7 linked regions of the Macaca mulatta genome follow. The protein of the gene in region 1 interacts with the protein of each later gene in a pairwise test. Links are inferred from orthologs where the notes say so. Each region holds a gene or a part of one and is shown in the gene's direction. Other genes may lie near its edges. The genes, in order: GOLGA2, SYT6, POLDIP3, RBM41, PPP1R16B, SLX9 and TBP.

Region 1 (3,500 bases):
GGGTCCCTGATAACCTGGTCCCATGGGTGGGCCGGTCCTGGGGCATTGGTGGCATTCTGGGGGCATGTCCCTTGCTGTGCCATCTCTGCCTCCCCCTAGTAAGAGCTCTGTCTTCCTCTTCCTGTAGGAAAAGAAAGAATGCCACCAAAAGCAGGGAGCCCTAAGGGAGCAGTTACAGGTGAGTGGAGGGGGTGAAGTTCCGCCCTGTCCTCTGGAGAATGTTTCTTTCCTTCTTTTTCAGCACTTGCTTGGGTTTCCTCCCAAAGGTTCACATTCAGACCATAGGGATCCTCGTATCAGAGAAAGCTGAGTTACAGACAGCCCTGGCTCACACTCAGCATGCTGCCAGGCAGAAAGAAGGTGGGAATCTGGGCACCCCATCATCCTTCAACCTGGCACTTTGACAGGCCTTTAGGGTGAGTCCTTTGGACCCCATCTCAACCTCTCTCATTCCAGGAGAGTCCGAAGATCTGGCCAGTCGCCTGCAGTATTCCCGGAGGCGTGTGGGAGAGTTGGAGCGGGCTCTCTCTGCTGTCTCCACGCAGCAGAAGAAAGCAGACAGGGTGAGTCCAACTGCCTGCCCCGAACCCTGGCAGCCTGGCTTCCCAGGTGGAGGAGTGAGCCTAAAGGTCTCTTCTGCAGGGTTGAGTGTCCTGCCCAGAAGGCAGCATGGGCCATTTGTCACTCCTTTTGTGTGTGGTTGTTAGAGGCATCCTGGGGCTGAGTCAGCTGCTGTGGGTGGGTGGGGGGGCACTGTGAGGAGTGAACACTGGACACAGAGCTCAGAGGCCAAGTGCCCGCCCTGCCCTTACCTAGCTGTGGCCTTGGCCAAGTCCTAGGTTGGGGAATGTGGTATTTGTTCTGTGAAGGTACAGAAGAGTATCTTTAGTATGTTACCATTTGTGTAGAGAGAGGGAACGTGTGTGTGTGTGTCTGTGTGTGTGTCCGTGTGTCTGTACATATGTACTGTGACAATATACATAAAACATGTCTGCAAGGATTCATAAAAAACTCAGGAGAGAGGAGCAGCATGGCTGGAAGATATTTCCCTTCTGTACCTTCAGAGTTTTGGACAATGCGAATGTATGATCCTTTCAAAAATTGAACAAAAGATTAATTTCCCTCTTCCTATCTGTGCCCCCACCCCCAGGGAACAAATGAACTTAGAGAGTCAGATATACCTGGCTATTCAAATCCCAGCTCTGTCTAAGTGATCTTAGGCAAACACTTAACCTCTAATACTACATATTTTTCATCTACAAAATAGAGGTAATAATATTGCAGTGAGCTGTCTCATGTGGTGGTTATGAGGATTAAATGGGATTATTAGCATGGTGCCTGGTGAAACACTCAATAAAGGTTCAAACAGTGGTAGTAATAATGATAATAACAATAGCAATATTATCTGATCTCTCTGGGCCTCTGTTAGCCAGCTGTAAATTCAATCTTGGCCAGGTGTGGTGGCTTATACCTGTAATCCCAGCACTTTGGGAGGCCGAGGTGGGCAGGTCAACTGAGGTCAGGGGTTTGAGACCAGCCTGACCAACATAGCAAAACCCTGTCTCTACTAAAAATACAAAAAATTAGCCAGGTGTGGTGGCAGGTGCCTGTAATCCCAGCTACTTGGGAGGCTGAGGTAGGAGAATTGCTTGAACCCGGGGGCGGAAGTTGCAGTGAGCCGAGATCACACCACTGCCCTCCAGCCTGGGTGACAGAGGGAGACTCCGTTTCTAAATAAATAAATAAATAAATATACAAAAATTAGCCAGGTGTGGTGGTGCATGCCTGTAATCCTAGGTACTCAGGAGCCTGAGGTAGGAGAATCACATGACCCCGGGAGGCAGAGGTTGCAGTGAGCCAAGATGGCACCATTGCATTTCAGCCTGGGTGACAGAGGGAGACTCCATCTCAAATAAATACATATATACATACATACATAAATTCACTGTCTTTTCCTGTCCCTTCCACTCTTACCAAGCTCTGTATTTTTTTTTTTTTGGAGACGGAGTCCCGCTCTGTTGCCCAGGCTGGAGTGCAGTGGCCGGATCTCAGCTCGCTGCAAGCTCCGCCTCCCGGATTTAGGCCATTCTCCTGCCTCAGCCTCCCAAGTAGCTGGGACTACAGGCGCCTGCCACCACACTCGGCTAGTTTTTGATATTTTTTTGGTAGAGACGGGGTTTCACCGTGTTAGCCAGGATGGTCTCGATCTCCTGACCTTGTGATCCGCCAGTCTTGGCCTCCCAAAGTGCTGGGATTACAGGCGTGAGCCACTGCGCCCGGCCTTTTTTTTTTTTTTTTTTTTGAGACGGAGTCTCACTCTGTCACCCAGGCTGGAGTGCAGTGGTGCCATCTCGGCTCACTGCAAGCTCTGTCTCCCGGGTTCACTCCATTCTCCTGCCTCAGCCTCCCAAGTAGCTGGGATTACAGGCACCCGCCACCACGCCCGGCTAACTTTTTGTATTTTTTTTTTAAGTAGAGATGGGGTTTCACCGTGTTAGCCAGGATGGTCTCGATCTTCTGACCTCGTGATCCACCCGCCTTGGCCTCCCAAAGTGCTGGGATTACAGGTGTGAGCCACCGCGCCCGGCCACCCTTACCAAGTTCTTTTAAAAACAAATGAGACCAGCTGGGCACGGTGGCTCACACCTGTAATTCCAACACTTTAGAAGGTTGAGGCGGGTGGATCACTTGAGGTCAGGAGTTCAAGACCAGCCTGGCCAACATGGTGAAACCCCATCTCTACTAAAAATACAAAAATTAGGCTGGGCGTGGTAGCTCACGCCTGTTATCCCAGTACTTTGGGAGGCTGAGATGGGTGGATCACAAGGTCAGGAGATCGAGACCATCCTGGCTAACATGGTGAAACCCCGTCTCTACTAAAAATACAAAAAAATTAGCCAGGTATGGTGGCAGGCACCTGTAGTCCCAGCTACTTAGGAGGCTGAGGCAGGAGAATGGCGTGAACCTGGGAGGCAGAGCTTGCATTGAGCAGAGATGGCGCCACTGCACTCCAGCCTGGGTGACAGAGTGAGACTCCGTCTCAGAAAAACAAAAACAAAAACAAATTAGCCGGACATGGTGGCGTGTGCCTGTAGTCCCAACTACTCAGGAGGCTGAGGCAGGAGAGTCACTTGGACCTGGGAGGCGGAGGTTGTGAGCTGAGATCTCACCATTGCACTTCAGCCTGGGTGACAGAGCGAGACTCTGTCTCAAAAACAACAACAACAACAAAATGAGACCATGGGCTTGGAAATGCCTTGAAAACATGTCAAGTGTGATTGAGAGTGAAGAAGTGTTACTGTGGAGTAGTTACTGTAGCTATTGTTACTGGTCGGCCAGCTGCTCCTCTGCCTGCTATATCCTGACTTAACCTTTCTGTGTTTACAGTACAACAAGGAGTTAACCAAAGAGAGAGATGCCCTCAGGCTGGAGTTATACAAGAACACGTAGGACTGGGGATGGTGGGATGGGAGGTCTGGGGGCCCTTAGCATGGGTGGTG
Region 2 (3,500 bases), on another chromosome or scaffold:
CTCAAGGAAAAGCACTCCTCATAGGTGAAAGAAATAGTGTCATTGTTCAGCCTCATCACCCTTTTGAGTCAGCCAGTGATTGACGAGCTGAGATTTAGGGCTGTGAACTGCATACCTGTCGGCAGGTGCCACGTCTGATTTGGGGCCAGCTTCCCCATTAGTAAAAGTCCATTAGGCGCTCTCCCAAGAGTACTGAGGTAGCTAAAGACTCTGCATTTATTAAGCACAGAGTGTCCTCAGAGACAGGTGTGCTACATAAATACAAGGTGGTTTAATTATTTTAACAACCCACTGATACCATCTGATGAGCAGCAGTAGGTCTAGGGCTTCAGTCCCTTTGCTGCAAATGATGTTTGCAGACATCTGTTAACACACTCCATTCCCTTTCCTCTGTCCCCATTGGCACAGATCCCTATGTCAAAGTGTCCCTGCTTTGTGATGGGCGGAGGCTGAAGAAGAAGAAAACAACCATAAAGAAAAACACACTCAATCCTGTCTACAATGAGGCCATCATCTTTGACATTCCCCCGGAAAACATGGATCAAGTCAGCCTGCTCATCTCAGTCATGGACTATGATCGGTAGGTGGGCGTCCCAGAAGGATGTGATTCCACCCCTCACTCCCACTCCAGCACCAGCACAGGGCTCCTTGACCTTGTGATTCAGGGCTCAGCTTCGGGGTTCAGGCCTCAACTCTATCTGTACCCAAGAAGGGTACAGGAGTTTGAGGAAGATCATGGATTCTCCCTTAGCAAAGGTTCAAAGTTCTTTTCCCAACTGGCCTATTTCCATCAGGGGCGGCTCTATCCATCAGTTTCCCTGAATTCACCCCTTGCTATTCCCATTCTTCCATCTGGCACCAAGTCCTGTTATCTGGCCTTCGAAATGCCCCTCTATCCTCTCTATTTCTGCTGTTGCTATTACTGTCACCCTGGGATGGCTGTGCAGCCTCCTAACTGACCCCTGCCTCCATCGATTCCTGCCCCAATTCGGTCAACATACTAGGGACACATCTTCCTAAATGACAGCTTTCTTCCTGGACCCGCCCTTCTAAAGAACCATCAGTGGCTCCTGTGATCCAGGCTTTTCCCTTGGACTCTCACGGCCTTCCCTCATCTGGAACCAGCATATCCATCCAGTCGGATCTCCCCTCTCTCAGATATTTTTCTTCTCTTCCATACCTCCTGCTTTTCCATCTAGGCTGGCTCAGAAACATTTCTCAACTGCTCCAGCCCCTATAACTCCTTCTCTCCAGTTGTCACTTTAGCTAAAGAAGAAAGAAACCATGCAATAAAGCCTCAATACAGGACTTTTAGCCCAAGTTCTCAGGCATAGTATTGACAAACATACCTAAGGGATAATTGATGTTCTTACCTAGTGAATAAATCACATTCCAGCCACGGGGGTTTTGGAGAAATGGTGCTCAGAGACGGTCGATTTATTTGCAAATACTGATGTCTCAGTGAGGTTGTAATGTGTTGGCAGGGTCAAATAAGTGAAGAGACTTAGACTCTCTCACCTCCCAAACTCAGGCTGTCTGCCCACCATTTCTTGAGATTCCAAACAGGTTTATAACCTTTGCTTATCTGCCTGTGTCTAGTGTCCACTGAAGGGGACCAGGCAAAGGCTTCACTGCCACTGACACCCAGAAGCCCTGCCAAGCATCTGTTTCCAGAGCTCAGAGTTCTGAGTTAGACCCATTGGGCAGAGTCCTACCATGCCCCCCCGCCCACCCGCGCTGGACCTCCTTGTCTGAGGGCATGTCTGGTAGCCAATGCTGGGACTTTTGTTTCTCCCTCAGAGTGGGCCACAATGAGATCATAGGAGTCTGTCGTGTAGGGATCAATGCCGAAGGCCTGGGTAGGGACCACTGGAACGAGATGCTGGCATACCCCCGGAAGCCCATCGCACACTGGCACTCCTTGGTGGAGGTAAAGAAATCCTTCAAAGAGGTGGGTGAGGTCGCCTGGCCCTTGGCATGTTTGCTGCATGGCAGTGTGGGCTGGAGAATGGCAGTCGGCTGCAGTGACACCTTCAGCCTTTTGTGGAAAGGTGGGCATGGGGGCCACATGCTTCTTACCCAGCGTGTAATAGGCCAAAAGGAAACAGAGGAAAAAGGTGGAGTCCACCGACACAAAGCCTCTGGTGTTGGGCATTTTGAAAGCAACACTGAGTTCGTAATGGAAAGCAAGAACTTTGAAGAAGACTTCCCAGCAGACCACTGTGCCAGGCCTGAAATGCTTTCACAAAGCCCTTGGCCAAGTTGGTCCTTTAGGAGAAAGCCCCAAGCGGGTGAGATCACAGCTTGGCAAGACATTCTACCCCTGTCAGAACAGTAAGTTCCCTGAGGCTCAAGCGAGGCAGTCACTTGGCAGTTTTCACTGCTTGGATGGAGATGCCAAAGAGCAGATTCCTCCTCTTATGAATGTTGGTTCTCGCCCTTGTTGGGGAAGGGAGCATGACCTCAAGGTGTCAGGCTTTCTGGCTAAAGCTGTGGAGCTGGGTTGCGTTGGGTTCTAACAGAGACGTAATGGAGAGAGCACTGGGCTGGGAGTCCCGAGACTTGGGCTCCAATCTTGGCCCCTCCTGACTTACTGTATAATCTTGACCCTGTCACTTCTCCCTCAACTGCAAAGAAAATATCCCTTTGAGTGATATCTGCAAACTTCTCCACCCTCCACTGAATCCCACTGACTTAGGATCCTGTATTCTATCACCCTGGTGGTCCCCAGGCCTGCTTTTTCTCAAATGGATTGGAAGTGTGGGTGACCAAACAAGGCTTAAAACTCACTCACAGTATCTCATGCCTTGGTCTGTATCCTAGAAAGCTGGGTGAATATTCTGTCATCTTAACAGGCTTCAAACCTAACAAGTCTAGAGAGCTGTATAAATTGGAAATTCTACTAATACAAAATAAAGCTTTATCCTTTTCACTGCATGGCCCCTCAGCTTAAAATCGGAGTCACCTTCAAAACAGAGTCATCCCCTCCCCACACTCTATGATGCAGAGAAGTCAGGTCGGCAAACCTAGAGAACCCACCGGCTCCCTGCCCTCTCATGGAGGACAAGCCCATTTCCAGCTGTTTCTGGCAGGGTGAGGTGTCTCAGGAGAGCCTGAGAGCCAAGGGGATTGGACCTGTGGAAACACGGGTGATAGGGACCTCGGTTGGTGAGGGGGCAGGCTAATTGATTCACCTCCCCAGACAGGTGGCGTGTGCTCTGTGCAGCTCCTGCCCTGTGACCTTTGAGGCGGCATCAAGGGGTATAAAGAAGCAAAGTTTCTGGCAGTTGAGACCTCATATTTCTATCTTGTGGGTGACTTGATTTTCCCATAGCTGTGGACCTTTAATGAGTGAGGCCAGTCCCTCGGCTCTCAGCTCCCCCAGAGGAGCCCCTGCCCCTCTTTTCCAGAAAGCCCTTTCTGCAGAGTGTGGGTGAGGAACCCACAATACAGGAGGCGTTGCTGGGCAGAACGCTAGACAACCTGCAGACAGCATCCAG
Region 3 (3,500 bases), on another chromosome or scaffold:
GCTAATTTTTGTATTTTTCAGTAGAGATGGGGTTTCACCATGTAGGCTATGCTGGTCTTGAACTCCTGACCTTATAATCTGCCTGCCTTGGCCTCCCAAAGTGCTGGTATTAAAGGTGTGAGCCACTGTGCCCAGCCCAGCTGAGGTTAAACCTTTTTTTTTTTTTTTGGAGACAGAGTCTCGCTTTGTCGCCCAGGCTGGAGTGCAGTGGCCGGATCTCAGCTCACTGCAAGCTCCGCCTCCCGGGTTTACGCCATTCTCCTGCCTCAGCCTCCCAAGTAGCTGGGACTACAGGCGCCCACCACCTCGCCCGGCTAGTTTTTTGTATTTTTTTAGTAGAGACGGGGTTTCACCGTGTTAGCCAGGATGGTCTCGATCTCCTGACCTCGTGATCTGCCCGTCTCAGCCTCCCAAAGTGCTGGGATTACAGGCTTGAGCCTCCGCACCTGGCCTAGGTTAAATCTTAATTATGAAACACACACATGCTGTGAAATGGGTCCCTCATACGCCCTTCTCCTTTACAGCGACAGTGCTGTGAATGGTGCACGTGAGGATGGAAATTGTAGCTTGTTTTGTGTAATACTTGACAAGTCATTAAGAATTAAAGCTGATTGCTGGGTGCAGTGGCTCACGTCTGTAATCCCAGCACTTTGTGAGGCCGAGGCTGGTGGATCACCTGAGGTCAGGAGTTCGAGACCAGCTTGGCCAACATGGCGAAACCCCATCTCTACTAAAAATAGAAAAATTAGCCAGGCGTGGTGGTGCGTGCCCGTAGTCCCAGCTACTCGGGAGGCTGAGGCAGGAGAATCACTTAGAACCTGGGAGGTGGAAGTTGCAGTAAGCTGAGATCACACCATTGCTCTCCCGCCTAGGCGACAGAGTGAGACTCTGTCTCAAAAAAAAGGAAAGAATTAAAACTGTTTATAAGCGTAATAACGACTGCCATTTATTGAGTACTTGCTATGTGCCAGTCACTTTAGGCAGACTCCTGGGAGATATATAATGGTGGAAAACTGAACACCAGTCATGATCAGCACTCAGGGGAGATTGCCAGTAATAATCATCCTCTCTCCTCTTCTACCCAAATAGGCAATGTTAAAAGGACAATGGAAATAAAATTGGAATTACACCTACTATTTATAGTTGGCCCTTCATATCTGTTGGTTCTGCATCTGCAGATTTAGCCAACCACTGAATGAAAATATTCAAATTTTTAAAAATAACAGTATAATGAGAAATAATACAAATTTTAGAAATACAGTATAACAACTATTTATATAGCATTTACATTGGTATTGTAAGTAATCTAGAGATGATTTAAAGTATAGTGGACAGTGTGCATAGGTTATACGTAAATACTACAGCATTTTATAGCAGGGACTTGAGCATCCACAGATTTTAGTATCTGTGAGTGGTTCTGGAGCCAGTCTCCCGCAGGTGCAGAGGGACGTCTTGTTTTGATATTTACCAGTAAATCAAATCATGTCAAGGACCTTTTCATAAACCTTCTTTTGGCCCTCACAGCAACCTTGTGAAGGCAGTTGCAGGTGAAGAAATGGTGTGAGTGCTAGTCAGGCTCTGTCTGTCTTCACATTCTGCTCCCTCTCTGGCCTTAATTGTCTTGTCTGTAAAATGGGGTGGAGATTGGAGTCAATGATGTGTGCAAAGCACTGCTTAAAAATGATCTCTGTTGAGCTTTCCAGCAACCCTCGAAAGTAAGCTAGTTCTTTTTATTTTCAGAAGAGGAAACAGGCTTAGAGAAGTTAAGTAACTTGCTAGATGTCGCATAGCAGATAGGAAGCAAAGCCTGGGGAATCAAACTCAGGTCTGACTTAGAGTGACCAACTGTCCCAGTTTTGCTAGGGACTCTCCTGGTTTTATCACTCAAAGTCTTATGTCTAGGGAAACCCTTCAATCCAGCCAAACCAGGACTCTGGGTAGAACTTCAGAATTTGTATTTCTAACAGATTATCAGGTGACATGTTAGCAGCTGTCCTTCTTTGTATACATGTATTCTCATGACAGGGCTCTCTGAGAAAATTTTCATAACTATTTTATCCCTGTTGAGGTGAGCACTGAAGACTTTGGTGGTGGCTTGCTGGGAGATCCCAGGTGATCCAAGGCTTGTAAACCCAGCCCCTTTCCCACTGCTGACTTCATCTGGTGCTGTGTTGAGGCCTATGGATGTCTCAAGAGCACCACCTAACGTGGAACCTCCCTGCAGTCTCAGGCACAGGGGCATATTTAGCTGCAGTGGAGCCCACACCCCAGGGCCTTCAGAGTGTGTGAGTGGCAGGCGGTGAGAAATCCTTCCCTAATCCCAACCCCTCTTGTGTGCAGGAACTTTTCTGTGTGTGTGGGGCCCTCAAGCGAGCTCGACTGGTCCATCCTGGGGTAGCAGAGGTGGTGTTTGTGAAGAAGGACGATGCCATCACCGCATATAAGAAGTACAACAACCGGTGTCTGGACGGTAAGTTAGGGAGAAGGCAGCCCTCTGACCCTCCCACTCCTCTCTACTTGCTGTCAGGTAGCAGGCTTTCCAGGGGAAGTCTCTCTGAGATGGGTGGAACCCATCTCCGGGGCCTCGTCTGCACCAGGAACTGCTGTGCAGTCTCTGAGTAGTCCTGAGCCGTGGGTTACACAGGGCCCTGGATTTTCACCCAGCCCTTAAGCTTTTGAGCCCAGCAAAAAGGAAAACAGCGTTTCTCTGTGGATGGTTCTCTTAAGCGGTTTTGCAGGGAAGCCAAGAGGCACAGCCGTTCCCTCCCAGATGTTGATCTGCTTAGTGCTAGGGCAGACGTTCCTCAAAGCCCTGGAGTCTGGTCTGAATGTTGGCTCCTGGGTGAGAGCTGCTCCTAGTGGGTAAACAACAGACTTTATTGACTTGAGGTTCGTATTTTTCATCTCCAGAGAGCCTGTAGAGAAGAATTCTGTCTGCCATGTTCCTTTTCTACTCATTTGTTCTTTCAGTATGTATTGAGTGCCTACTGTGGACCAAGGCCCTGTGCTAGAAGTGGAGAAGCAGAGACTAATAAAACAATACAACAATTAAAAAATTACAAATAAAAGACCTAGAGCCTTGGCTAAATCTTGGCACCTGGGTGAACTCCCCTGGGTGAGTCAGTGGAGTTCTGATTTGCATTTCCCCGTGGCTAATGATGTTGAGCACCTTTTCATGTGCTTATTGGCCATTTGTATGTCATTAAAAAAAATTATTTTTAATTTTGTTTTAAATTTTAAATTTCTCTTGTTTTTTCTTATTTTGTCATATTGGATGTGGAAAGATACTTTTCTTTTTCTTTTTTTTTTGAGTTTCTCTCTGTAGCTGGGGTGCAGTGGCATGATCTTGGCTCACAGGAACCTCTGCCTTCCATGTTCAAGCAATTTTCCTGCCTCAGCCTTCCAAGTAGCTGGGACTACAGGCATGCGCCACCACGCCCAGCTAATTTTTTTGTATTTTTAGTAGAGATGGGGTTTCACCATGTTGGCCAGGCTGGTCT
Region 4 (3,500 bases), on another chromosome or scaffold:
CTGATATTTAAAAATTAATGTAAATAGACACATGTGACTAGTGGCTACTGTATTAGGTAGCATAGTTATAGATTATCTGCCAAGAAATAGAAGGGATTAAGGAACAAGTTAAACAGCACCATCAGAAAATGATTAGTCAAATTCATTTGTTCATAGAACAAATGTAGTTTATTTAATCAATGGATGAGTGAGAAAATGAAATAGAGAGGTGGGAGAGATGAGACACTGTTTTAGAATAAAAGAATCTTAAGAGATATAACAGCCAAAGGCTATTTTAGATTTTGAATTGAATAAACAAGTATAAAAAAATTCTTTGACGGAATCAGGACAATTTGAACATAACATTGGTATTAGATGATACTAAGGAATTATTAATTTTGTGAAGTGTAGTGCTATGTTGCTTATTTTTTTTAAATGTCCTTATCAATTAGAGGTACATATATTTGCATGACCCTAGGTGCCTCACTTGCCTCACCATAGTTCTGGCCTATAGTTTTGCTTGAAATATACTGTAATAAGATAACTATTTACCATTGTCATTTGTCACAGGTTGTAAAGACCTGCCCCAGCAGTGTTTCTTTATCTGAGGTCCAGGATTTAATTTTTATTAATTTGTCAAAAGTTGTATTGGTAGGCTTTGTAGAACTTCCCTATCTCTTTGTCTTGATCCAGATGAACCCCAAAAGAAGAACAAAGGTGATCCCATGAACAACCTGGAAAGTTTTTACCAAGAGATGATAATGAAAAAACGTCTTGAAGAGTTCCAACTTATGAGAGGTGAACCCTTTGCTTCCCACTCACTGGTCTCAGCTACATCAGTGGGTGATAGAGTCACAGCTGAGAGCCCATCATTACTCCAGGACAAGGGAAAACAGGCAGCACAGGGTAAAGGCCCCAGTCTCCATGTGGCAAATGTTATTGATTTTTCACCTGAGCAGTGTTGGACTGGGCCTAAGAAGCTGACGCAGCCAATAGAATTTGTCCCAGAAGATGAAATCCAGAGAAATCGTTTGTCAGAGGAAGAGATCCGAAAAATTCCTATGTTTTCTTCATATAATCCAGGGGAACCAAACAAGGTATAGGCCAAACCAAGTAAAACAACCTGGGTTGATTTCACTTTTATTTACCTCTACCTAAAGTAATACTTTTAAATTAGCTTTGATTATACCAAAGAATCATGATATAGGCACAGTGATTGTGTTTGTCCTTGACCTTGACTATTCATTCTCTGCATACTATATAAGTAGCATATTTCCTATAAGGTTCTTGGTACTTTGCTAAGGTCCTGAATTACCCTTAGCATTTTAAAGAAATGTTGATAAGACTCTAGTCCATACCCATTAGAAGCCCCGAACTGAAGGAAAAGTAACCTCCAATTTCCTACAATGTAATAATAAAATAGTGTTCATAGGACCACCATAGCTGGTAGCCATGGTGCCTCTGGAATTAGCCAATAATTGACTGCCTGGTTGTGAGTAGGGTATATGCTACCACATGAGTCTTCTCTTCAGAATGCTCTACCTGGCTTTCATATGACATATGACTTAAATTGCTGTTGGCAAAGCAGCAAAGTGAAAAAGGTCCTATAAGCTTTAAGAAATTGTCCAACAAGTCTGGGCGTGGTGGCTCATGCCTGTAATCCAAGCACTTTGGGAGGCTGAGGCAGGCGGATCACAAGGTCAGGAGTTCGAGACCAGCCTGACCAACATGGTAAAACCCCATCTCTACTAAAAATACAAAAATTAGCCGGGCGTGGTGGTGCGTGCCTGTAATCCCAGCTACTCAGGAGGCTGAGGCAAGAGAATTGCTTGAACCTGGGAGGCGGAGATTGCAGTGAGCCAAGATCATGCCACTGCACTCCAGCCTGGACAACAAACCGAGACCCCATCTCAAAAAAAAAAAAAAAAAAAAAAAAAAAAAGAAATTGTCCAATGCATAACTAAATAACGTTGTAAATAATTCTTATTTTATTGATCAAATCATTATTTCACATTCATGTTATATGTTACATCTGGAATGGAAAACTCTTCGTTACTGTGTTACCCAAAGAGACAACACAAGCCCCTGGAGCATATAGTTTGTTGTGTCTAATTTAAAAAACAAAACCAAAAATATAATGTTAGTTTTTGACTGTCTCTGAATTAAAAAAAAAAATCATTCTAGATGAGGGATATTAAAACAGTTTATTTGACTGACTGAATTTCTAATAGTTCAGGGGTATTTATGCTATTAGTTCAAGAATAGCTTGGTTTTTATTTACTTTTTGTTATGAAATATTAATATACCAAAAGTGATATAGAATAATATAGCAAATACCTGTGTAGCCAGCCAACTTTTATTAATCATTGTCAAGTCCTAATATTTTCTGTATTTGCTTAATTAAAAAAAATAAAGCATTATAGATATTCCTGAAGACTTCCACATATTCCTCACCAATCCCATTCTCCTTTATCCTTTCCAGATGTAACCACTATCCTGAATTTGCTATTTATAATTCCTATGCCCATTTTTATATTTTTACTACATAGCCATATATTCACAAATAACATACGGTTTTATATGTTTTAAAAGTATATAAATGACATACTCTATCATTCTACAACCTTTTTGACTCGATATGCATAATGCTTTTGAAATTTATTTCTAAAGATACAAGGAACTATGTAGTATTCCATTGTAGAAATAGACCATCATTTATTATATTTATCCATTTTCCTGAAGATTTGTTCTTTCTGTTATTTTGCTGTTACAGTTAATTCTGCAACAAGTATTATTGTACATCTCTTGTTGTGCATATGCCAGACTTTTTCTAGGACAGTGTTTTTCAAACTTAGGTTACAATTAGTAGGTTACAACCAATGGGGTTTTGTTAATGAAATGGAATAGAATAGAAAATATCAAAAAGTGTTCCATACAGTATGTTAGGGTAATTACTGTTTCTTAAAGCTTTTATTTTATATGTGTTTGTGTATATGTGAGATAATGTGTGTGGGACCACAATGAAGAATGCAGTTCTTCCTGTAGATCTCAATCAAAAGTGTTGGGAAGGTGTCATTCTATTACAGTGTCTCGAATGTTAGTGTGCATCAGAATTGCTTGGAGGGCTTATTAAAGCATAGATTGCTAGACTCCACCCCCAGAATTTTTGACTCAGTAGATCTGGAGTGGGGCCTGAGAATTTGCATTTCCAACAAGTTCCCAAGAGATTCTGATCCTGCTGGTCTGAGAGTAACAATTTAAGAATCATCGTTCTAGGTTATATACCTGGGAGTGGAATTGCTGTGATATATAGGGTGTGTATATCTCAATTTCTAATGGAACAAGGTTTCAGAGATCCTCTTCACATTCTTGCCAAAACTTTGGAGCATTAGACTATTTTGCCAGCCTTATCAGCTTGAAAAGATATCTCACTGTTTTAATTTGCATGTTTCTGATTTCCAGTGAGGTTAAGCATGTATTCTTAACATTTATTAGCCTTTCAGGAACTTTCTGTGAGTTAC
Region 5 (4,097 bases), on another chromosome or scaffold:
CCAGGGAGCCAACCAAGGGGGCTCGCACAGTTCCTGGGGAGGGCCTGGGGGCCTGGAACAAGTTCAACCCACAGATTTTCTCTCCCCCAAGAAAGTTGACTGAGCACACACAAAATCACTAAACTCAGGTGATGCTGGTGGTCTCAAAAGAACATTGGTAGTGAAAAAAAAGGGATTCAGGAGAGTTCCTCAAACATGACAGCTGAGAATTAAATTAACTGGGTACCATCCCCAAACTCCCCAAACTTAAACTCTGAATTTCCCCAGCTGGCTGGCCCTAGGGTGCCTAGGGCTCTCATCTGTAGGCCGGGAAAGCTCAGGAAACAAAGCCTTTGTGGAGAAGAGAAACCTATTGTTCTAAGGCCAGGGTTCAGCAAATGTGGATTCCAGAGAATGTTTGGGGATGTTTTCTCCGCTTTGTTTATGAACTTTCTCTTCTCTTCCTGGGGTGGTGACGGTGGCGGTGGGGGGGTGTGGGGGGTGAGGGGGTGTTGACTCTCAGCAACTTAAATAGTTAAACCTATTGTGATGTAAAGAAAGGCTGGTGCACAGAGCGCAGAGGCCTTCAGCCCCAGAAAGAGGCTTGAATAAGGTGACAGAAGTCACCGGGTATGTTTTGCTTTTTATTTTTAGCGTGAAATCTCAGGGAAGCAGCCCCTATCTTCATCCTGCACACCTCAAAGGGTGGCAGACGTCAGCAGAGGTACGACCACTTCCTTCCTCCAGCGCTTCACCTCCCTTCTTTCCAGAAAGAGGAAATGATGCGAGTCCACGCCGCAGGCCACAGCCCCCATGTCTCGCCCCCGCCAGCTGGGCGACCTGGCCCCACAGTTCTGTCCCCAGCGCAAGGCCAGGGCCGGCCCCTGGACCTCCTGGGAAGCCTTCAGACTCAGGCCGCGCGGTACTTCAAGCTAGGAACCCTGAGTTCCTGGAATTCATTCTGTGTGACCTTGAGCAGGTTACTACTCCTCTCTGGGATTCAGGATTCCCGTCTGTCAAATGGGAGCAGGGATACCGTCCTTGGCTTCCCTCTTTCCATGGTCGGGGTGGGGGTTAGGAAAACTATTTTGGAGGAGGAGGCAGCATTAGGAAAACTATTCCGAAGCCTGGCCGCGTCCCAACCAGTTTCAACTTCCTGCAGCTCAGAAGAGGGGTCCCCACCCTCGAGAGCGCCGGGACCCTGTCCCGCGCTGCCTCCCAAGCCGGATGGGGTTGAGCGCGCCCACCCCAGTCCCGGGAGCTCAGGCCCCGCCTTGGGGGAGGAGCCGAGAGGCGGCGCGGAGGCTCGCGGCGGAGCAGAGCCGGCTCTGTCGCCGCTGGAGCAGCTGCGGCTCGGGGACCCACAGACACAGCCGGGGTCGGGAGCCGCCCGGGGCAGGGCTCGGGAGAGCTGGTGAGTTCCCCGGCGGCGCCGCCTCCCTCCTTGCCCTCTGCGGCTTCGCGGGGCGGGGGATGAGGATGGGGCGGGGAGGTGGTCCCAGCCTCCGATCACCTAGCTGGGGGCCAGGGCGCTTTGGTCAAGGGACGGTAGCTTAAGATATAAATGGGAGTGTGGGGACTCTGGAAAGGCAGGTACCGAGGGCGCTGGATCCGGGAGTCGGGCTGGAGTGGGGGCGTTCTCCCCGGCCTCGCAATTCCTTGACGAGGCCAGGGGAGGGGGCGCATTGGCAGGTTGTTGGCTGCGGCCGTCGTGGCCCAATCTTAGGGCGGGGAGGTGGGGTCCTCCGTCGGTTCTAGGCTCGTGGGCCGCCGTCTGCTGGGGGTGCAATGCCGGGCGGCGGGAGCCACAGCGGACAACAAACAACCCCCTCGCGCCCACTCTCCCGGCCGGGCATGGAGGTGCCGCCCCCTCGCGTGGCGGGGCTTGGTCCCCGCGGGCAGCGGCAGGGCACAGAGAGCGCTCCTGCCTGGGCAGGAAAGGTCCCCAAAGCAGGCGCCTCCGCCTGCAGACCCGCCCCGCCTCAGGATCGAGCTGACAGCACCAGTCAGCCCGGGGAGACCCGGCGCTTGGTAGTTCCCCGGGAGGGGCGCGCCCGGCCTCTCCCAGGGCCCCGTGCGCGGGCTGCTGGGTCCCCCGCGCCGGGAGCTCTCCCCTCTGGGCGACTCCCGCTTATCGATTCAGGCCGGGAGGAGCGCCCCCGAGCGCCGAGGATGGGCAGAGACGTGCAGCGCCCCAGAGAGGTCGCCCAGAGGGGTCTCGCCAAGGTCACCCGGAGTGCCCAGACTGAGCTGCCCAGACCGCCCCGGGTGGAGAGCGGGGAGGGGCAGGCGCTCGCTGCCCGCCTCCTTCCCCCATGCAGACTCCCTTCCTCCGCTCCCCCTCCCCGGCCTGGCCTCCAGCTTCACTGGAGATGCTGATGATGCAGCTCCCAGCCCTTGGTGGATAATTGAGCCTGGGAGAGCTTTGAATCTGGCCCTCTCGAGACCCCAGGGCTGCGCCGCTGCCGCGCGACAGGCCTGGGTCCCGGTGCTCCCGGGCACCTCAGGAGCGGAGGGAGAGGGATGTGGCTTCATCAGCGCTTCTAGGAACGGAAAACCGAGCTGCCTGCGCGCCCATGTGATTGCACTTCACATAAAGGGCCCCTGTTCTCACTGTCAGAAGCGCCCCCCAGCTCTCCGCGGCTCGGGGCACCAGGTGTCGCCTCTGAATCACCCTCTGTGGAGGACCCGGGGCCCGGAGGTACCAGGCGCCCTTTCCCGCAGGGCTCTCCCTGGAAAGGGCCTGCCGATGGCGGCCTCAGTCCGCAGGGGTACTTCCCTGTGTACTCTGCCATTTCCTGCGGCTGGTGAAGCACTGGAGAAAAACCCTCCATCTAGGAGGCCTCCTCCAAGGCTGGTAATAAAGCTTCTTAGCTCAGCCAGCGACTAGCTGTCTACTCGTGGGCAAAGTACTTGGCCTCTGGAGTCTCAACTGCCTCTAAGAAACTGGGGCTAACAGCCGCCAGGCTGTGGGGAGATGAGGGAGAGGCTGGGTGCAGCAGAGCCGGAGGATGAACACTCCTTGGCCAATACTGGCCGCCCTCGGGATTGGCTATGAGTGGGGCGTGTCTCTCTTAGACAGGTGCAGAAGTGGAGCCCTGGTGGGTGGTTCTGCAGGGGCTGGGGGAGTTTCCACATCTTCCTCCACCAGCTCTGTCATAAAAAGCCAGCTTGCAGGAGGCCGGTGGGGGCCAGCAAATCTTTCCAGCCGGCTGCCTGCTCACACGGCCCTTCCCACACAAATCTCCCATGCCCTTCTCTCCCACCTGTCACCCAAATCCAATCTTCCTGGCTGAGTCCCCAGGATGCTGGGGGCAAGGTGTCAACCAGGCCACCCTGGACCATCAACTCTGTACCTACTTGTCTATTGGGGTCTACCTAACAGTGTCCCCCTGTCCTGGAACCTTCCTGGCCCCAGCTCTTCCCAGCCTCTGGAATGTCTTCTTTCCTCTCTTTTGGTCTCCTACCACCGTGGCATTCATTAGTGGCTCTGTGGTTCATGTGTCAAGGGCCCCGTGCCATCTGTGCTCTCCAGATCATCCGTGGCCTGGAAAGACGTGGTAGGCAAGGCCCTGTGCCCACTCAGACTTTGCTCTCTCTGGTAATTGACGGTGGAGCGGAAGTTAAATTCTAATCTGGCTGTTAAGTCATTTCAGGAGCTTGAGCCACAGGACTAAGAGGATGCTGATGTAGGGAGGTGGTTTTTCCTTAAAGCCAGAACCTTTCTCCTTTCTGCAGAGCCCATTTAAGACCATTGGAAACTAGGCCTATGTGTAATGGCCTCACAGAATCCTCACAACCCCATGAAGTAGGCATTACTGATTCCCATTTTGCAGATGGGAAAACTGGGGCTCAGCTCCTCTCAAAACCAGCTCCATGCCCCAAGAGGAGCAACAGAGGCTGCAGCCAACCTGGTTTAGCAGAAGGCAGGAGGCACATACCTGAATTCAGGTGCCGTGTTTGGACTCTCAGGACCCCATCCCCCCAACCTTTCCCTCCCCTTTTGCAACCTAACCACCACCCTTCCTGCACCCAGAACACTTGTCACATTTGTTGAACAGTAGGTCCCAACTGGCACTCTTCCAGCAGAGACCAGGAAAACCTTCACTGTCTTGAGT
Region 6 (3,500 bases), on another chromosome or scaffold:
AGGTTGAATGGAGGTGGTTGTGGAAAACTAAACCACGTGGGGAGGCAGGCTGCAGGACGGGAGGGGTTGTGTTCACCAGGTGTGTCTGTACAGAGTGCTTTTGGCTCCTCTCATCCGTCCCCGATGATAAGAATGTCGCTTTCCTTCTGGTGTAGGAGGGCATTTTCCACATGGGGATTTTATCTTCTTTCAGGAAAAACGGAGGGGGTTAATGTGCCCTCTTGGTACCTGCTATATTTTTGAGTGCCTTTAGCTCAAAATAATTCTTTTGCCAAAGTGACATGTTTTGGGGTGGCGTATTCTTTTTTTTTTTTTTTTTTTTTGAGACAGAGTCTCGCTCTGTCGCCCAGGCTGGAGTGCAGTGGCGCAATCTCGGCTCACTGCAAGCTCCGCCTCCCGGGTTCACGCCATTCTCCTGCCTCAGCCTCCTGAGTAGCTGGGACTACAGGCGCCCACCACTGCGCCCGGCTAATTTTTTGTATTTTTAGTAGAAACGGGGTTTCACCGTGGTCTCGATCTCCTGACCTTGTGATCCGCCCGCCTTGGCCTCCCAAAGTGCTGGGATTACAGGCGTGAGCCACCGCGCCCGGCATGGGGGTGGCGTATTCTGACGCCCTTCAGAAACCTCTGTTGAGGTCGGTGCTGCCTTCCCTGCCAAGGTCAGTGAGGCTTGCACGTGAATGGGCCAGGCAGCACGGGGGTCAGGGACTGGGGGTTCTGTCTTCTCGCAGTGTGGTCGACAGCTGACTTGGAGGAGCTGAAATCTTCATGTAGGGATGAGTGTGGCTCAGAAACAGACCTGGCAGAGAGGCCGCTGAGATGACTGGTTCTGATGGGGTGTGGTCATTCTGAGCTGAAGGGGCTGGCAGGCTGGGAGCTGCCTATCCTTCATCTGCTCAGCTGCAGGTTTCTTCTGCGACACAGGAGGATGTTGTGGAAAGAGTAAGACGAAACGGTTGGGCAAGAAATTTGGTTCTTGAGATACTGGTCCTGACTCCTGAAGCCCATCTGGTGATTTCAGGCAGGGAGCAGGTGGGCCTGGGTGCTGCGGGTCTGCCCTGGAGCTCTGGGGCCGGAGGCTCCTGCTCTGGGAGGTGAGGGCTGTTTCCCCCAGGTCCTCCCAGGCAGAGAAGCTGGGGAATCCGGGTTCTTGTCCTCCGTCTTCTCCTCACCTTTAACTTCCCTCTGAAACCACAGAGCAAGTCTCACACCGTTTTTTTCCTTCCTTTTTTGTTGGGGACATTAGGACTGGGCGTTCATCAACACCAACATCTTTGCCAGGACCAAGATAGACCCCAGTGCCTTGGTGCAGAAGCTGGAGCTGGACGTGAGGAGTGTCACTTCCGTCAGGAGAGGTGAGCAGTCTTAAGTGCGTGGGTTGCCATGCTGATGCCCAGCAGATCTGGGATCACTCACTCACACACCCGAGGTCTCAGCAGCTTTCCAGCTAACCTGTACCTGACAATGTCCTTGAGCAAGGGATGCCCCTGGCTGTTTGTTGGGGTGATTCCCCAGAGTAGATTGCAGCGGTGGTTTTGCCCCTGGGCTGCATCTTGTCCCCCCAGCTACGCAGGGACTGCCCTGCATCCTGGCAGCAGCGCTAAAGCCACAGGAACTTGGGCTTCTTTGGTGACCAACAGGGTTTGAACTCTTTTCTCCGTGTGTGCTGATTCTCATGGTCTGTCTCTATGTTTGGGGCAGTTTTGATCCCTTTTCTTAAACAAGTGCTTTATGTGTTGCAGAGGTTAGCTGTTTATCATTTTGTACAAATAACTCGTTAGGGTTTAGATCCTGAAGCCCAAGTGGGGTCTTGTCAGTTTCATCAGAGCCACGTGCAGCCCTTCCCTGTCTCCTGATTATACTCCTTGCAGCCCTGCAGCACACACGTCAGCCTGGCCAGGGAGAGGCCCGGGAATTCGCACTCACTCCAGTGTCTGGAGCTTAGCAGGGAATGCAGTCCCCTGCACCTCCTACTGAGCCTGAGGTGTTCTAGAGAGTTCCAGGCCTCCATGCTCAACGCCAGGAGTGTTGACTTTCTGGCTGGAGGATGGTGACACAGTGTCACTCCCAGGGATAAATCCAGGAAAGAGCTTCCTTCACTCATCTAAGGTAGTCCATGAGGGCCACAAGGAATACTTTTTACATCTTGACAGCCTCAGAGAGCCATGGGTTGGGGAGGGAGAGGGCCTGGCTGTGGGTGCAGAGCTCAACTTTTTACATCTTGACAGCCTTGGAGAGCCACGGGTTGGGGAGGGAGAGGGCCTGGCTGTGGGTGCAGAGCTGGGGACACCAGTGTGACAGTGAAGACTGCACTTGACTTCACAGTCTGCAGAGCTGGGAGTGCCAGGACAGGGCACGAGCCAGGTCTGGGGCCTGTAGGCAGCCCCTTGAGAGCGTGGCTCTGGGCCTCTGCTCCTCACCGCCTGGTAGCCTCTGGCTGCACACTTGATCACTCTGGGCCTGGGTTTTGCATCTGTCAAAGGTGGTAACAATATTTATCTCCTAAGTTCTGGCAGTTTTGAGGTTGAGATGAGTTAGTTGGTGTGAAACGTTTAAAACAGTGCAGTGAAGGCCGTGGAGGTGTCCGCTCCGCATCTGTTGAGTGAGGCTGGTCTGGCGGCAAGGCTGGGGATGAGTGGGTTTTGCAGCTGCCCAGAGGTGGCCAGCCTTAATTCCTTGGGCGTGTCGTGTGATTGTGGTTGCTCTCTGACCCTTAGCTCCATTGTCCACAAAGCGGCGACAGACATAGCTCATGGGTGCTGAGGGCTTCACTGTGCCTCTGGAAAGATCCAGGTACATTTAGCCAGTGCTGGTTTCCTGCGCCTTCTCTCCAAGGAGGACCTGGTGAGGTGACCAGGCCAGGTAACTCCAGAGAGAAGCTGTGCCTTCCAGCCAGAAGCCTCGATGTTGTGGGTGGTCCACCCGAGCTGTGCGCTCCCTGATTCCCGATGAGGCCACTGAGGCTGTCCCCAAGGGGAGGGGAGTCATGGGTCTCACTGACCTGGCTCTGGCCTGAGCTTCTCAGAGAAAGCCTCTCTTTCACACAGCGGCCTCTTTCCTCTGCCTTTTCTTGGCCCTCTCCCTTCAACCCCTGTGACTCATCTGGTCCCCAAGGCCACCTGCTGCACTGACCCTCACGTCCCCTCTTCCCCTCCTAATTGAGGGAGGCGTCACGCTCACGACCCCTCTTGCCTACCAGGGAAACTCCTCATTAGCAGCATCTGGCCTCGCAGTGTTCTTGGGCTGAGGTCACGCCCAGCAGCCCTGTGGCCTCTCCTTTGAGCCACCCTGGATCTTCTGGTTTTGTTTGTTTGTTTGTTTGTTTGGAGACGGAGATTTGCTCTGTCACCAGGCTGGAGTGCAGTGGCGTGATCTTGGCTCACTGCAACCTCCGCCTCCTGGGTTCTAGTGATTCCCCTGCCTCAGCCTCCCGAGTAGTTGGGACTACAGGCACATGCCACCACGCCCAGCTGATTTTTGTATTTTTAGTAGAGATGGGG
Region 7 (2,637 bases), on another chromosome or scaffold:
ACACGCCTGTAATCCCAGCTACATGGAAGGCTGAGGCAGGACAGTCACTCGAATCCAGGAGGCGGAGGTTGTAGCGAGCCAAGATCGTACTACTGCACTCCAGCCTGGGCAACAGAACAAGACTCCGTCTCAAAAAAAAAAAAAAAATTACACACACACACCCCCCAATAGTCCATTCAGTCAGACAGCTCAATCAGGTATAGGTTAATTCTCAGGCTAGTATATCAGAGTGATTGAATTTCCTGAACACAATTGATAGCTAGAGAATATTTCAATTTAAGGTGAGATTTGATTAAAAGTTATAGTATCAGATCTTAGAAGTAAATGATTATTAGGTAGGTAATAGTAATTATTAGGATTGTAAAAGTAGGTGATTATTATCAGAGACTGCAGACATAACTACAGGGCTCTTCTTAAATCAGAAAATCCAGACTCAGTAGAAATGGGGTAAAGTGATAGGAGGGCAAATAGCCTCCCATCCAATGGTTATCAGCTGATGGCTAAAAGTTGGCCTCACTTGCTTTAATTATTCTATCCTTTGATGCTGCTTGAAGAACTGTGCTTTACCTCTTGACTAGTTTGCTTGTTTATTCAGTATTTTTCCTTGTACAGGTTCTCATTTTATTTAAAAGCACACAAAGCTCTTAATTTCTAAACTGTTTTTTGCAATTTTCCTTCCAGTTATGAGCCAGAGTTATTTCCTGGTTTAATCTACAGAATGATCAAACCCAGAATTGTTCTCCTTATTTTTGTTTCTGGAAAAGTTGTATTAACAGGTAAGTTGTAACAGGAAGTAGTATCTGAACGTTTCTGTTTCGAGTATGGCATTTTCTCAGTGCTGAAAAGAAATTTCAGTGTCGGGACAGTGGGCTAGCTTCTTGCACAAAGGCCTCCCACCCAAGTCTTATGAGAAACGTGCCCACTAAAGGCACAGTGAGAGCAGGGAAGTCTGACCACAGCCCTGCAAGCAGGTTTCCATTTACAGTCAGGAGGTGAGCACTGCATTGAATAGAAGATGGTGTTTTCACTTGGAATTAGTTATCTGAAGCTTTACGATTCTTCAGCAATATGATTATGAGACAAGAAAGGAAGATTCAGAAAAGAGCTTAGTTGAAGGCAGCAATTGGGAGAAAAAGATTCGGTTGTTATTGCCGTCCTGCTTAGTTTAGGGCCTGGTTCAGGACCAGGAGAGAAGTGTGAACACATGCCTCTTGAGCTGTAGAATGGATGCGAGATGCTGGAGTCACTAAGATGATTTTTTAAAAGTATCGTTTTATAAACAAAAATAAGTTTGTGACAAGGGGTTCCACCATTAATGTTTTCATGCCTATGCCTTAATCTGACTGGGTATGGTGAGAATTGTGCTTGCAGCTTTAAGGTAATAATAATTTTAACTTCTTAATATGTTAAGAAGTGCCATTTCGGTCTCTCATCTCTACTTCAACTTGTCTTCTTAGGTGCTAAAGTCAGAGCAGAAATTTATGAAGCATTTGAAAACATCTACCCTATTCTAAAGGGATTCAGGAAGACGACGTAATGGCTGTCATGTACCCTTGCCTCCCCCACCCACTGTTTTTTTTTTTTTTTTTTTTTAAACAAATCAGTTTGTTTTGGTACCTTTAACTGGTGGTGGTGTGAGAAGATGGATGTTGAGTTGCAGGTTGTGGCACCAGGTGATGCCCTTCTGTAAGTGCCCACCACAGGATGCCGGGAAGGGGCATTATTTGTGCACTGAGAACACCGCGCAGCGTGACTGTGAGTTGCTCATACTGTGCTGCTATCTGGGCAGCGCTGCCCATTTATTTATATGTAGATTTTAAACACTGCTGTTGACAAGTTGGTTTGAGGGAGAAAACTCTAAGAGTGAAAGCCACCTCTACAATTGATTGGACTTTTTAATTTTAATGTTTTTCCCCATGAACCACAGTTTTTATATTTCTACCAGAAAAGTAAAAATCTTTTTTAAAAGTGTTGTTTTTCTAATTTGTAACTCCTAGGGGTTATTTCTGTGCCAGACACATTCCGCCTCTCCAGTATTGCAGGACAGAATACATGTGTTAATGAAAATGAATGGCTGTACATATTTTTTCTTTCTTCAGAGTACTCTGTACAATAAATGCAGTTTATAAAAGTGTTAGATTGTTGTTATGATACCTTGTAAGAGTCATGTGATCATACTGTTTTCTAAAAAGTTGTATTTTAGATATAATGCCTGAAACCATTTTGGTGTCTGCTTGTTTGTTTCAGTCAATATTTCATTACATGCTTCAATGAAAGCAAATTAATGATCAGAACTCACAGTTGCTCAGGAAACGTGTATTTATTACCTTCTATATATTGAGCAACTCCTGTTTTCTAGGTACTTTCCATACGGTGCCTGGAATCCTCACAGAGCTGCAGTCAGGTTTTGTTCCTCTGTTGGAGGTGAGGAGATAATGGCCCCCGCTGAGACTTGGCTGAGGTTACACAGTTAGTAAGTGGTAAAAATTAGTGAGTCCTTCAGGTGTAGAAGCTGATGCCCTCTCCACAGGCTGCCAACTCTCTGCAGTAACTTTTTTTTGCTTGTTTTGTAGTTTTTTTCTCATGGAATATCAGGTGGACATTTGTGGGTTCTTAGGTTTCATTGTTAGGGTGGTT

Evidence for each region.
Region 2: the proteins of GOLGA2 (region 1) and SYT6 interact in binary tests that used the Homo sapiens proteins (3 or more experiments, as listed by UniProt). The two-hybrid records come from large-scale screens. The link is inferred for Macaca mulatta from reciprocal best matches to the Homo sapiens genes GOLGA2 and SYT6.
Region 3: the proteins of GOLGA2 (region 1) and POLDIP3 interact in a two-hybrid assay, tested with the Homo sapiens proteins (2 studies listed by BioGRID and IntAct). The two-hybrid records come from large-scale screens. The link is inferred for Macaca mulatta from reciprocal best matches to the Homo sapiens genes GOLGA2 and POLDIP3.
Region 4: the proteins of GOLGA2 (region 1) and RBM41 interact in binary tests that used the Homo sapiens proteins (3 or more experiments, as listed by UniProt). The two-hybrid records come from large-scale screens. The link is inferred for Macaca mulatta from reciprocal best matches to the Homo sapiens genes GOLGA2 and RBM41.
Region 5: the proteins of GOLGA2 (region 1) and PPP1R16B interact in binary tests that used the Homo sapiens proteins (3 or more experiments, as listed by UniProt). The two-hybrid records come from large-scale screens. The link is inferred for Macaca mulatta from reciprocal best matches to the Homo sapiens genes GOLGA2 and PPP1R16B.
Region 6: the proteins of GOLGA2 (region 1) and SLX9 interact in binary tests that used the Homo sapiens proteins (3 or more experiments, as listed by UniProt). The two-hybrid records come from large-scale screens. The link is inferred for Macaca mulatta from reciprocal best matches to the Homo sapiens genes GOLGA2 and SLX9.
Region 7: the proteins of GOLGA2 (region 1) and TBP interact in a two-hybrid assay, tested with the Homo sapiens proteins (2 studies listed by BioGRID). The two-hybrid records come from large-scale screens. The link is inferred for Macaca mulatta from reciprocal best matches to the Homo sapiens genes GOLGA2 and TBP.

The regions. Positions count from the first base shown.
Region 1 is NC_133420.1:19,421,875-19,425,374, forward strand, and holds part of GOLGA2 (golgin subfamily A member 2), read left to right. Parts: intron 1-127; coding exon 128-178; intron 179-266; coding exon 267-360; intron 361-456; coding exon 457-563; intron 564-3,387; coding exon 3,388-3,446; intron 3,447-3,500. UniProt on the Homo sapiens protein: Peripheral membrane component of the cis-Golgi stack that acts as a membrane skeleton that maintains the structure of the Golgi apparatus, and as a vesicle thether that facilitates vesicle fusion to the Golgi membrane.
Region 2 is NC_133406.1:126,143,492-126,146,991, forward strand, and holds part of SYT6 (synaptotagmin-6), read left to right. Parts: intron 1-408; coding exon 409-580; intron 581-1,800; coding exon 1,801-1,951; intron 1,952-3,500.
Region 3 is NC_133415.1:8,891,158-8,894,657, forward strand, and holds part of POLDIP3 (polymerase delta-interacting protein 3), read left to right. Parts: intron 1-918; exon of another isoform or gene 919-990; intron 991-2,340; coding exon 2,341-2,470; exon of another isoform or gene 2,471-2,889; intron 2,890-3,325; exon of another isoform or gene 3,326-3,397; intron 3,398-3,500. UniProt on the Homo sapiens protein: Is involved in regulation of translation. Is preferentially associated with CBC-bound spliced mRNA-protein complexes during the pioneer round of mRNA translation. Contributes to enhanced translational efficiency of spliced over nonspliced mRNAs.
Region 4 is NC_133426.1:113,883,803-113,887,302, reverse strand, and holds part of RBM41 (RNA-binding protein 41), read left to right. Parts: intron 1-672; coding exon 673-1,076; intron 1,077-3,500. UniProt on the Homo sapiens protein: May bind RNA.
Region 5 is NC_133415.1:91,672,496-91,676,592, forward strand, and holds the start of PPP1R16B (protein phosphatase 1 regulatory inhibitor subunit 16B), read left to right. Parts: upstream 1-1,297; 5' UTR 1,298-1,393; intron 1,394-4,097. UniProt on the Homo sapiens protein: Regulator of protein phosphatase 1 (PP1) that acts as a positive regulator of pulmonary endothelial cell (EC) barrier function. Involved in the regulation of the PI3K/AKT signaling pathway, angiogenesis and endothelial cell proliferation.
Region 6 is NC_133408.1:2,573,597-2,577,096, reverse strand, and holds part of SLX9 (ribosome biogenesis protein SLX9 homolog), read left to right. Parts: intron 1-1,246; coding exon 1,247-1,362; intron 1,363-3,500. UniProt on the Homo sapiens protein: May be involved in ribosome biogenesis.
Region 7 is NC_133409.1:1,477,876-1,480,512, reverse strand, and holds the end of TBP (TATA-box-binding protein), read left to right. Parts: intron 1-681; coding exon 682-776; intron 777-1,457; coding exon 1,458-1,537; 3' UTR 1,538-2,137; downstream 2,138-2,637. UniProt on the Homo sapiens protein: The TFIID basal transcription factor complex plays a major role in the initiation of RNA polymerase II (Pol II)-dependent transcription.